2 linked regions of the Canis lupus familiaris genome follow. The protein of the gene in region 2 purifies or fractionates together with the protein of the main gene of each other region. This does not show direct contact. Links are inferred from orthologs where the notes say so. Each region holds a gene or a part of one and is shown on either strand. Other genes may lie near its edges.

The links.
Region 1: the proteins of NEUROG3 (region 2) and C1QBP purify together in Homo sapiens (affinity purification with mass spectrometry; 3 studies listed by BioGRID and IntAct, counting the BioPlex papers as one, with this or other methods). This does not show direct contact. The link is inferred for Canis lupus familiaris from reciprocal best matches to the Homo sapiens genes NEUROG3 and C1QBP.

What each region holds. Positions count from the first base shown.
Region 1 is NC_049226.1:31,558,678-31,563,174, reverse strand, and holds the start of C1QBP (complement component 1 Q subcomponent-binding protein, mitochondrial), read right to left. Parts: upstream 2,967-4,497; 5' UTR 2,883-2,966; coding exon 2,672-2,882; intron 2,112-2,671; coding exon 1,961-2,111; intron 1-1,960.
Region 2 is NC_049225.1:21,374,267-21,378,752, forward strand, and holds the start of NEUROG3 (neurogenin-3), read right to left. Parts: upstream 2,914-4,486; 5' UTR 2,704-2,913; intron 2,524-2,703; 5' UTR 2,523-2,523; coding exon 1,875-2,522; 3' UTR 1-1,874. UniProt on the Homo sapiens protein: Acts as a transcriptional regulator. Together with NKX2-2, initiates transcriptional activation of NEUROD1. Involved in neurogenesis. Also required for the specification of a common precursor of the 4 pancreatic endocrine cell types.

The sequences.
Region 1 (4,497 bases), on a different chromosome or scaffold from region 2:
TCTGTCCAGCAGAGGCGGCGCTGCTACAGTTGCACTTACACATGGGGCGGAAACCATGTTTCCAGGGCTGCCAGATTTAAACCCACAGGCCGGGCAGCCCTGGTGGTTCAGTGGTTTGGTGCTGTCTGCAGCCCTGGGTGTGATCCTGGAGACCTGGGATCGAGTCCCACATTGGGCTCCCTGCATGGAGCCTGCTTCTCCCTCTGCCTGTGTCTCTGCTTCTCTCTCTCCTCTCTGTGTATTCTCATGAATAAATAAATAAAATCTTAAAAAAAAAATAAAAAATAAACCCACAGGCCCCACTTTATCTCCTTGTCTCCGCCACGTGCAGACGCAGTGGGTTACTAACTGCCCCCCCACCCTGCCAACCCAGGGCTCCTGGCCACCAGCCATTCGGTGGCAGTGAGCAGCAGAGGGTGCTGGGACAGCAGGTAGCCTCTCGTAAGAACTTTACTCCATGAGATCTGCCCAGAGGGACAGGGGAAGAGAGGCACACAAGGGTGCTGCTATGAGAGGGCCAGGATAGGCCCCGGGGAGGGGGCTCCCCGTCAACACAGCTGCCAGAGCTGTTTTTAAAAATATATTTATTTGAGAGAGCACGAACAGTGGGAGGGGCAGAGGGAGAAGCAGATACCCTGCTGAGTAGAAAGCCCGACCTGGAACTCGATCCCAGGACCCTGAGATCACGACCTGAGCCAAAGACAGATGCTCAACCACTGAGCCCCCGCCCCCCCTAAATCCATTCTTTAAAATACTTGTGGGAAGTTCCATATCGTGAGGAAGCAGCCTGGAAACACCCACCTCATGACAGTCTTCCGCTACAGAACCCTCCCCTGACAAATTGTGCTCCGAGTCTGAGTGCCCAGCGCAGGTAGGTGCCAGCTCCCCCACTCCGTGGGTGTACTCGGGACCCCCCTGCCGGTGTGCTTGGAGTTGCTCCCGTACAGGGATGCTGGTGTCACATTCAGCTACAAAACCTATCTAATGTGCCGCGGTGCTGACCACACTGAGCACCTGGGCACAGAGGTGCCGCTCTATTCACTAGAACATTATATTTACTCCACTGGCTACACGTTACCCTCAGAAAATGGTTTAGGGGAAGTTATGCAGGAAAAAAAAACATGGCAAATAAAGGCAAAGAAAGAATCAGATCCCAGTTCACAACATCTCAGAACTTTACTCAAAAAAGGGATGGTGAAGAGGTGAAGCAAATGGAAAGTTCTGTACCTTTCTAACGGGGACACTAAGCACATGTGGCTTCATCCACGCACATGGGGGCCACAGGCTGGTTCTCCCCACTGTAAACGTCAAATGTCAGGGGGAGGGCCGGGTTTCCCTCGGCCAGAACCCTGCACTGCAGAGGCGGCACCCAATCCGTCAGAACTGCACAAATCTCAGTCGGGGGCACCTCTGTGGCTTGGTTGGTGAAGGGTCTGGGGTTGGCTCTGGTGGTGATCCCAGGGTCCTGGGGTCGAGCTCCAGCTCCCATAGGGCACCCTGCTCAGGAGGAGAGCCTGCTTCTCCCTCTGCCCATGTGCGTGCTCTCTCTCTCAAAAATAGGGCAGCCCTGGTGGCTCAGCAGTTTAGCGCCACCTTCAGCCGGAGGGGATCCTGGGGACCTGGGATCAAGTCCCATGTTGGGCTCCCTGCATGGAGGCTGCTTCTCCCTCTGCCTGTGTCTCTGCCTCTCTCTATGTCTCTCATGCATAAATAAAATCTTAAAAAATTATAATAATAGTAAATGAAATCTTAAGAAGACTTTCTGATATGCGTGCCTGGGTCAGGCAGGGCCTTCCTTACCAGGACATCCTTCCTTCCTTAATAAATCCACGCTCAGCCAATCTGCGTGCAGTGAATGAGGCACCTGGAAATCATGTGTCCGGGGACCTGCTCTAAGGCATCCCTGGAAGATCGGGGAGGCTGCGCCGGGTCAGAGGGACCCCCTGCAGCCCACACTTACTTTTCTCCAGCTACTTTCCGCACTAACTTGGCCTCCGTCCCATTCATGTCTAGCTCCCAGCCCCCAGACATTTTGGGGAGGGACTTGTGCTTCTGTATTTTCTTTTCCTCCTTAATCTCATCATTCAGGAACTCGACGAAAGCTTTGTCCCCTGCAATGAAAACCCATAAGATACAGAAAAAGAAAAACCAGTCAGTCTTAAACCAACAAACGACTTGGGGTGATTGCTGTGGGAAACCTGGCCTCGACCGATTCTGATGCTTGTGCTGTTACGGAGGCTCTGGGCACGGAGTCAGACCCACGGGGCCTCGGTTCCCAACCTGGAAACGGGCTGGACACCCGTGGCAGGAGGCTGAGCTCAATTCTGGAAAAATGACTTCCAGCAACGAGCCCATCACCGCATTTCACAGCGAAGCCAGGCGATTCCCGTTACCCGCCCCAGACCACACACGACCTCCCCTGCTTTTAACTCTGACCAGCCGCCTCCCCGAATCCACCTCCGAGGCTCAGGATAGAGCCGGCTGCCGGGGTTTAGAAGCATCACCGCCAGCCAGGGAGCCACCACTCTCGGGATTAAGGCAGGAAACCTCAAGCCACGTGGGATTAACCTGGAGTCGTCCACTGCAGGGGGTCGTGAGTTTGGGGCCTTGGGCCCCCGCCCCCCTGGCCGCGGCTCCCCGGACCACCGCCCCCGCCGCGCCCCAGCCTCACCCTGGGTGTGCAGCCCGCCGCAGCCGCAGCCGCAGCCGCAGGGCCCGCGGGAGCGCAGGAGGCCCGCGCGCACAGGGAGGAGCCCGAAGGGCCGCACGCACGGCCGGGGCGCGGGCCGCAGCAGGGTCGGAGGCGGCAGGGCGGGGGCGGCGCGGAGCCCGGCGACCGCCGAGCCCAGGGCGCGGGGCACTCGGCGCAGCAGCGGTAGCATCGCGGCAACGCACGTGCGGGCGCGAAGGACGAACCAGGCCCGGATCCCGGCTCGCGCGCCGCCGGAAGTCCCGCTCCTCCCCGGGAGCGCTTCCGCGCCTGTGCAGTGCCGGCCCGGGGCGTCGGGCTGGCAGCGCCCTCTGCTGGGGCCGCCGAGGTCAGCGGGGCCGCCGGCGCCGGGTCTCCCCGCGGGACCCCGAGCCCCGAGGGTAGCTCCGCTCCGGGGCCGGCCCTCTGAATTCCCGCCACCCTTACCAAGCGTGGACACCACCCCGGCGTGCACACCACCTGTGTGCACCTCCCCAGCATGCACAGCCCCGGCACGCGCACACACACGGCCCCCAGCGTGTGCCCCTCCCCCCCACCAGCGTGCACCCAGTTCCCAAGACTTTGCATTGTTCTGGGACCAGGAAGCTGGGAGGAGGAGGGAGGGGCCCAGAAAAAGAGAGCTCTTAAGGCCCCGGAGAGGTCACTTGGGGCCTCCAGCTGTTCTTGGCACCCACACCCTACTCCTAGCAGCTCCTCGAAGAACCTCCTAAGGCGGTGTCAGAATCGCAGATGCAAAAGCCTTAGTCGTTACGGATTTTAAGGAATAAAAGGGAATGCAGAACTACGTGGGCGGCCGAACCGCATCCCAGACTTCAACCTCGCGGTACAAGTCCCAGGGCTGGTCCAAGAGCAAGGCGGGTGTTCCCATCGGAGATGAGCCCAAGACCCCAGCCCGTGGCCCGGGGGAGGGGGGGGGGAGGCGCTAATCGCCCCTTCCCCTGGCCCCACCCTCACAAGGTTAAGGTCTCCCCCGGGGGGAGCAGGGGCCTCATTGCCCTGACAGGGCGCAGGTAAAGGTGTTTTCAACCTTGTACCTGAGCAACCTGATGGACGCCCCTGCGCAGGGAACACAGCTGCTCTCCCTGGATATTCATCCCTCACCCTTAATAACCTGCTCGCCTCTGCTTGACAGTCACGGCTTTGGAAGTTATTTCCTTCCTCCTCCTTTGCTGCAAATCCTTTAGTTTCCTGTGTGGGGCTGCCCCTGGGGTCGTCTCTGGTGGAGTTATTTGGAATGTCTCCGTGTGGTTTGGTTGGGTCCTGGGCATCTTGGAGCTAAGTGGTGGTTTCATTTAGCCCAGGGCCAGGAGCCTGGGGCAGAAGGCATGCAGCCACTCCAGGGCTTGGGGAAGTAAGGGTTAGGGAAGATTTAAGAGGATAGGGGCACCTGGGTGGCTCAGTGGTTGAGTGTCTGCCTGTGGCTCAGGGTGTGATCCTGGGGTCCTTGGATTGAGTCTTACATAGGGCTCCCCGCAGGGAGTCTGCTTCTCCCTCTGTGTCTCTGTCTCTCATGAATAAATAAAATCTTTTAAAAAAAATTTTTTTTAAGAGGATTTTCATACACTGAAGAAGACTCTGGAAACCTGAGGCCTGGCTGTTGTCAAACTCAGAGTCGAGGGCTTCCCAGAGGAAACTCACCCTCTGCCTCCCCCAGTACCTGTCCGAGGGCTGCAGGTTATGAGGACATGTAATGGTATCTACACTGCCTTCTGCCCATTTCCCCCATCAGTCTCCACCTGTGACCCACCCAGAGCAGCTCATGTTACTTCAGTGACAGAGCCGTGGCT
Region 2 (4,486 bases):
TTAACTCCTGCTAAGACCTTTGCGTTCTAACTGGAAACCCACCTACAGACTGGCTCTGGGTGGGCCATGAGGGTGCCATGCCCCACTGGGGTTGGCTGGCTCCTTCCTGCAGCCAATCCCAGGAGGTCTCTGGGGTTCAATTCACAGGGTAGGGTCCCCACCCTCCATTTTCCTGTTCCGAGTGCCAGGCGGGCTCTGCGGATTCTTAGGGCTCCACTGGCTTCCCTGGAGGTCTAGGGGTCCTGCAGGCCATGTAGGGGTGCTCTAATAGTTTCAGTCCCTGCCGTGCACCCCACCTCTACCTTGGGAGTAATGAGTGGCTTGAACACATTCTTGCTAAGTTTTCGATCAAGACTGCCAGGTGTCCTGGGTGCCAGAGATTTCAGCGGGACTCTCCACTCTCTGCTTCCCGCTGCTCAAAGCCACACGTCAGGACACCCAGAACCGGCTGCATAAAATGTGCTTAGAAAACATGCTAGCCCTCTAAGCACCCTGGGAACATTCCTGGGATGCCCAGTCAACTTTCAGTGTTTCTGAGGGCTCTGACCCTGTGGTCAGGCTACTACTCTTCCTCCCCAAATGCACTAGTCACTCTAAGTCCAGGCTAGTGGTGTAGGGGCAAGGGTCAGCAGCGCCAGCAAGTATCCCTAGTTGGAGACTTGTCTTTCACCTAAACCACTCTTTGGAATATGACAGTTCACTGCCCTATAAATAAAATTGGGAACTGGACCAATGTTTTCTTAAGAGCCCTCCAGCTCTTACTTTCCATACAGGTTTAGCTGACTTGCCCTGAGGACACTACCTGCTCTGCTTCCAGCCTAGGGCCACAGCCTCTTAGCTCAAGTCAGAGAAGGGGCTCAGACCCCCCAGAATGTTTCATATTTCTCCTTGGACTGAGGCCTACCACTGCCCCAGCCAGGGGGCTGTGACCCTCCCCTCTGCATAGTCGAGTTACCTAACTGAGGCTTCTTGAGGGTACTTTTTTTATTGGCTCAAAATCTCATTCACCAGTCTCTAAATAATCTTATGTACAAAAAATAGACTTTCCCCCCTGCTGTGAAATCTCATCAATAAATACAAACGTGTAAAGGAGGGAGGGGAGGCATATAATATACCATACCAAAATTCACTTCAAAAGATATCATATAATTTACAGTCTGATTTTTTCTTTTTCTTCTTTTTCTTTTTCTTTTTTTTTCTTTTTAAAAGAAGGGCGCTTCAGGTCGCAGCGGGAGAGTTCCCCAGGCGGACAATCTCTTTCCCAGTTCACAGCCTGGTCTCCCTCCCCTCGGGAGGGCAATGGCTCCCAAAAGTGCACGAGAGAAGGCAGAGGATCACCTTCCTGGATTAAGGCAGCGAAGCAGCCAGAAACCAGGACTTGATAGGGACTGGAGGAGAAGAAGGTCCGCTGCGTCTTTGGAGAAGAAAGCAAACGGTGAAAGATCAAATACTGAGTTAAATCACATTGGTGGAGGATTGGTAAGAGACAGACCCACAGACTTGAGTGAGGGTAGGGTGGCTGGAGACAGGGGGTGTCTCGGGCTGCGTGCGTAGAGCTAGCATCCTCTTCTTCTTTGCATGAGACTTCGTCTTTGCATGAATGAGGGTAGGGTGGCTGCAGGGAGGGGGACGTGCGGAGGCTGCAATGCTGGCCTGCGCGGGCAGCACCAGAGGGCTGGAGTTGGCGCGGCGCGGAGGATGGGGATGGAATGCAGCCTGTCACCCTCGTGGGCGCCCGGGGTTCACCGGGTGTTAGCGAGCCCGAGCCTGGAGGAGCAAGTTCGCACCAGGGCCGCCGCAGCGCGGTGTCCCTGACGGCCTCCGCCCCCTCCCTCTGTCCCAAGCACCCACCGCCCAGTGGCCGACAGGCCCCTTCATAGGAAGTCTGAAAAAGCGAGGGCGCCGGGGCGCAGACTGGCAGGGGAGGCAGGGGCCTGCAGCCCGGGACGCTCCTCCAGCGAGGCGGCGGGGCTCAGGCTGCCCGCCTGGGAGACCGGGGAGTAGAGGGAGCCCCAGTCTCCCGGGGAGCCGCCGTCCTGGCTGCCCAGCTCCCCGCAGGGCAGCGCGGGCGCCTCCAGCCCGTAGAGGCTGTGGTCCGCTATGCGCAGCGCCTGCGTCAGCGCCCAGATGTAGTTGTGCGCGAAGCGTAGCGTCTCGATCTTGGTCAGCTTGGCATCGTCCGGAAAGGTGGGCAGGACACCGCGAAGCGCGTCCAGCGCCGAGTTGAGGTTGTGCATTCGATTGCGCTCGCGGTCGTTGGCCTTCTTGCGCCGGCTGCGTCGCTGCTTGCTCAGAGCCAGCTCGCTCTTGGGCCGGCTGCGCCCGCCGCGCCTGGTCCGGAGCTTCCTCGAGGCCCCTCGGCAGCCGCCCCCTTCCTCCTCGGCGCCGTTGCCCCGCGAGCGAGCGGGGCTGGGCGGAGCGGACGCAACGCAGGCCCCTTCGTCGTCCGAGGCGCCCGGGAAGGACCGCTCAGTCTCGTAGGTCCCTTGGACAGTTGGCGCACCCGAGGGATGAGGCGCCATCCTGCGGCAGGGTAAAAGGTCGCAGTAAGCGTGGGTCGGCCACCGGGGCGCAGTTCCCTATCCCGGGGCCAAGAGGGGGTGGGGGGTGGGGGGTAGAGAAAGAGCCACCCCGCCCCCGTCCCGCCGGATCAGAGGACCCCTTTCCCCCTCCACCCGTCGCTCTGTCGCCTCCAGGTGTTACCTTGTTCGCGCGCGCAAAAGGGGAGAGAAGGGGGCAGCGAGATCAATGGTTAGGATGAGCCGGCCTTTCCGTCTGCAAGCGCAGCGCAGACGCAGGTGCCGCTGCCTGGACGTTTCCACAGCCCTGGAGAAGCCAAACGCAAAGGGGTCCCGGGCCACCGTGGCTGTCTTTGGCGCGGCTGCGAGACCATTCGGATTTTCCGAGCCGCCAGTCGTGTGCCCCTTGGCACGCTTTATCTGCTCGGCCGGGGCCCGGAGCGTGCCTGCCCCGTTGCTGCCCGAGCGGCCGGCCAATCAGCGCCGGGGCCAGGGGGCCGCGCCACGCGAGCCCGCTCCTCCCCCGCGGGGCACAGCTGGATCCCGGACAAAGGGCCGGGGTCGGGGGAGGGGAGCGCCGCTCTATTTGCTCTCTCCCCGCGGGCTCCGTCCCAGCAACTCTCGGTTCCTCAAAGAGCCTCGCCCAGGGAGAGGAGCCTCGTCTGGCTCGCGTCTGGCCGCCCCAGACCGCTTTGCTCCTACTCTGTCTTTCCTTGGCACCTGCCCAGAACCTCTTTTGATACCCCAAAGAGGGCTTTGGGGAGCCTATGGGCTTGGTCGATCTCCATATGTTACACATGGGGACATTAAGGCTCAGAGAAGGTGGCAGTTTGCCCCAAATCACTGGGCCAGAGATAAGACAAGGCGCAAGTTGCCTGGACTACCAGCTTCGAGGAGTGTCCACTAATTCCCCAGGTGACCCTGCTGTCCTGCTCTGCTGGTCAGGCCAGGAAACTCATGGGGTGATGTTTCCCTGACCCTCTCCTTTCTGGCAGGGGGCACAGGACAACCACACAGAAAGATTGTGCCTAGTCCCTGCCACTTAGAGTCCTTCGCTGGGGGTCAGGAGCCACCCTACCTCCTACCACCTTGTCCCGTGATGATGCTCCTCACTCCTCAGAGGGAAGCACTGAGAACATCTCCTCCCAATCTCCTAGTGGGAACCCAAGAAATTTCCATCGGGTCCCAGAGGCGGAGGGTGGCCATGGTGGGACCTCCCAGGGACATTCCACCACTAGCCATCGTGGACAGCCCCCTCACATTTGAGCCAGGGCCTAAGGGGGAAGGGCCCAGGTGAGAATGGGCCAGGAGAGGGCCAGGAACTCGAAACAAGGCCTTGTCTTTTAAACACTCTTAGTGTGCTGGAACTGTGAGAAGCAGACCACTTCTTTCCTCCCTCTGTCCTCCTGTCCAATCACAGCTGGGCCAGCCAGCGCCTGGTGCTAGGCAAGGATCCGGCGAGCCCGGATCGGAGCCCGGGCAGGGACCCTGAAGGCCCCTGTTAGCGCAGTCGGAAAGTGAGACCAAACGCATCATCCCTCCTTTCTTCCCCAACCTTCCCTTTTGTCCTCGCCTCGGACACCCCCGTGGTCTTCTGCTTCCGGTCACTCAGGGTGAGGGGTCGAGGCTTCTGCTTCTCTCTTGACTACAACGTGTCTGGTGGGGGGGTGAGGGGACAGCCAAGGGGGGGAAGACTGGGGCCTGGGTTCTGTCTCTGCAGGCTGCGAAGGCTTCACTCTCTAGTAGATCCAGACACCCAGTGCCTGCCGGAAACTGGCGGAGAGGGGCTGGACCCTGCTGGGAAACTGAGGGGATGGGGTGGAGGGTCAAGGTAAGTCTGCGGATCTGCCCTAGTGACTACCTCTCCACACCTGCCCTGGCTGCTTAGAGGGTGCAGTGACCTCCTAGGCAGAGAGAGGTGGGATGTGCTAGGGAGCCAGGGAGAGAGGGCTCTAGGGCTGTATGGG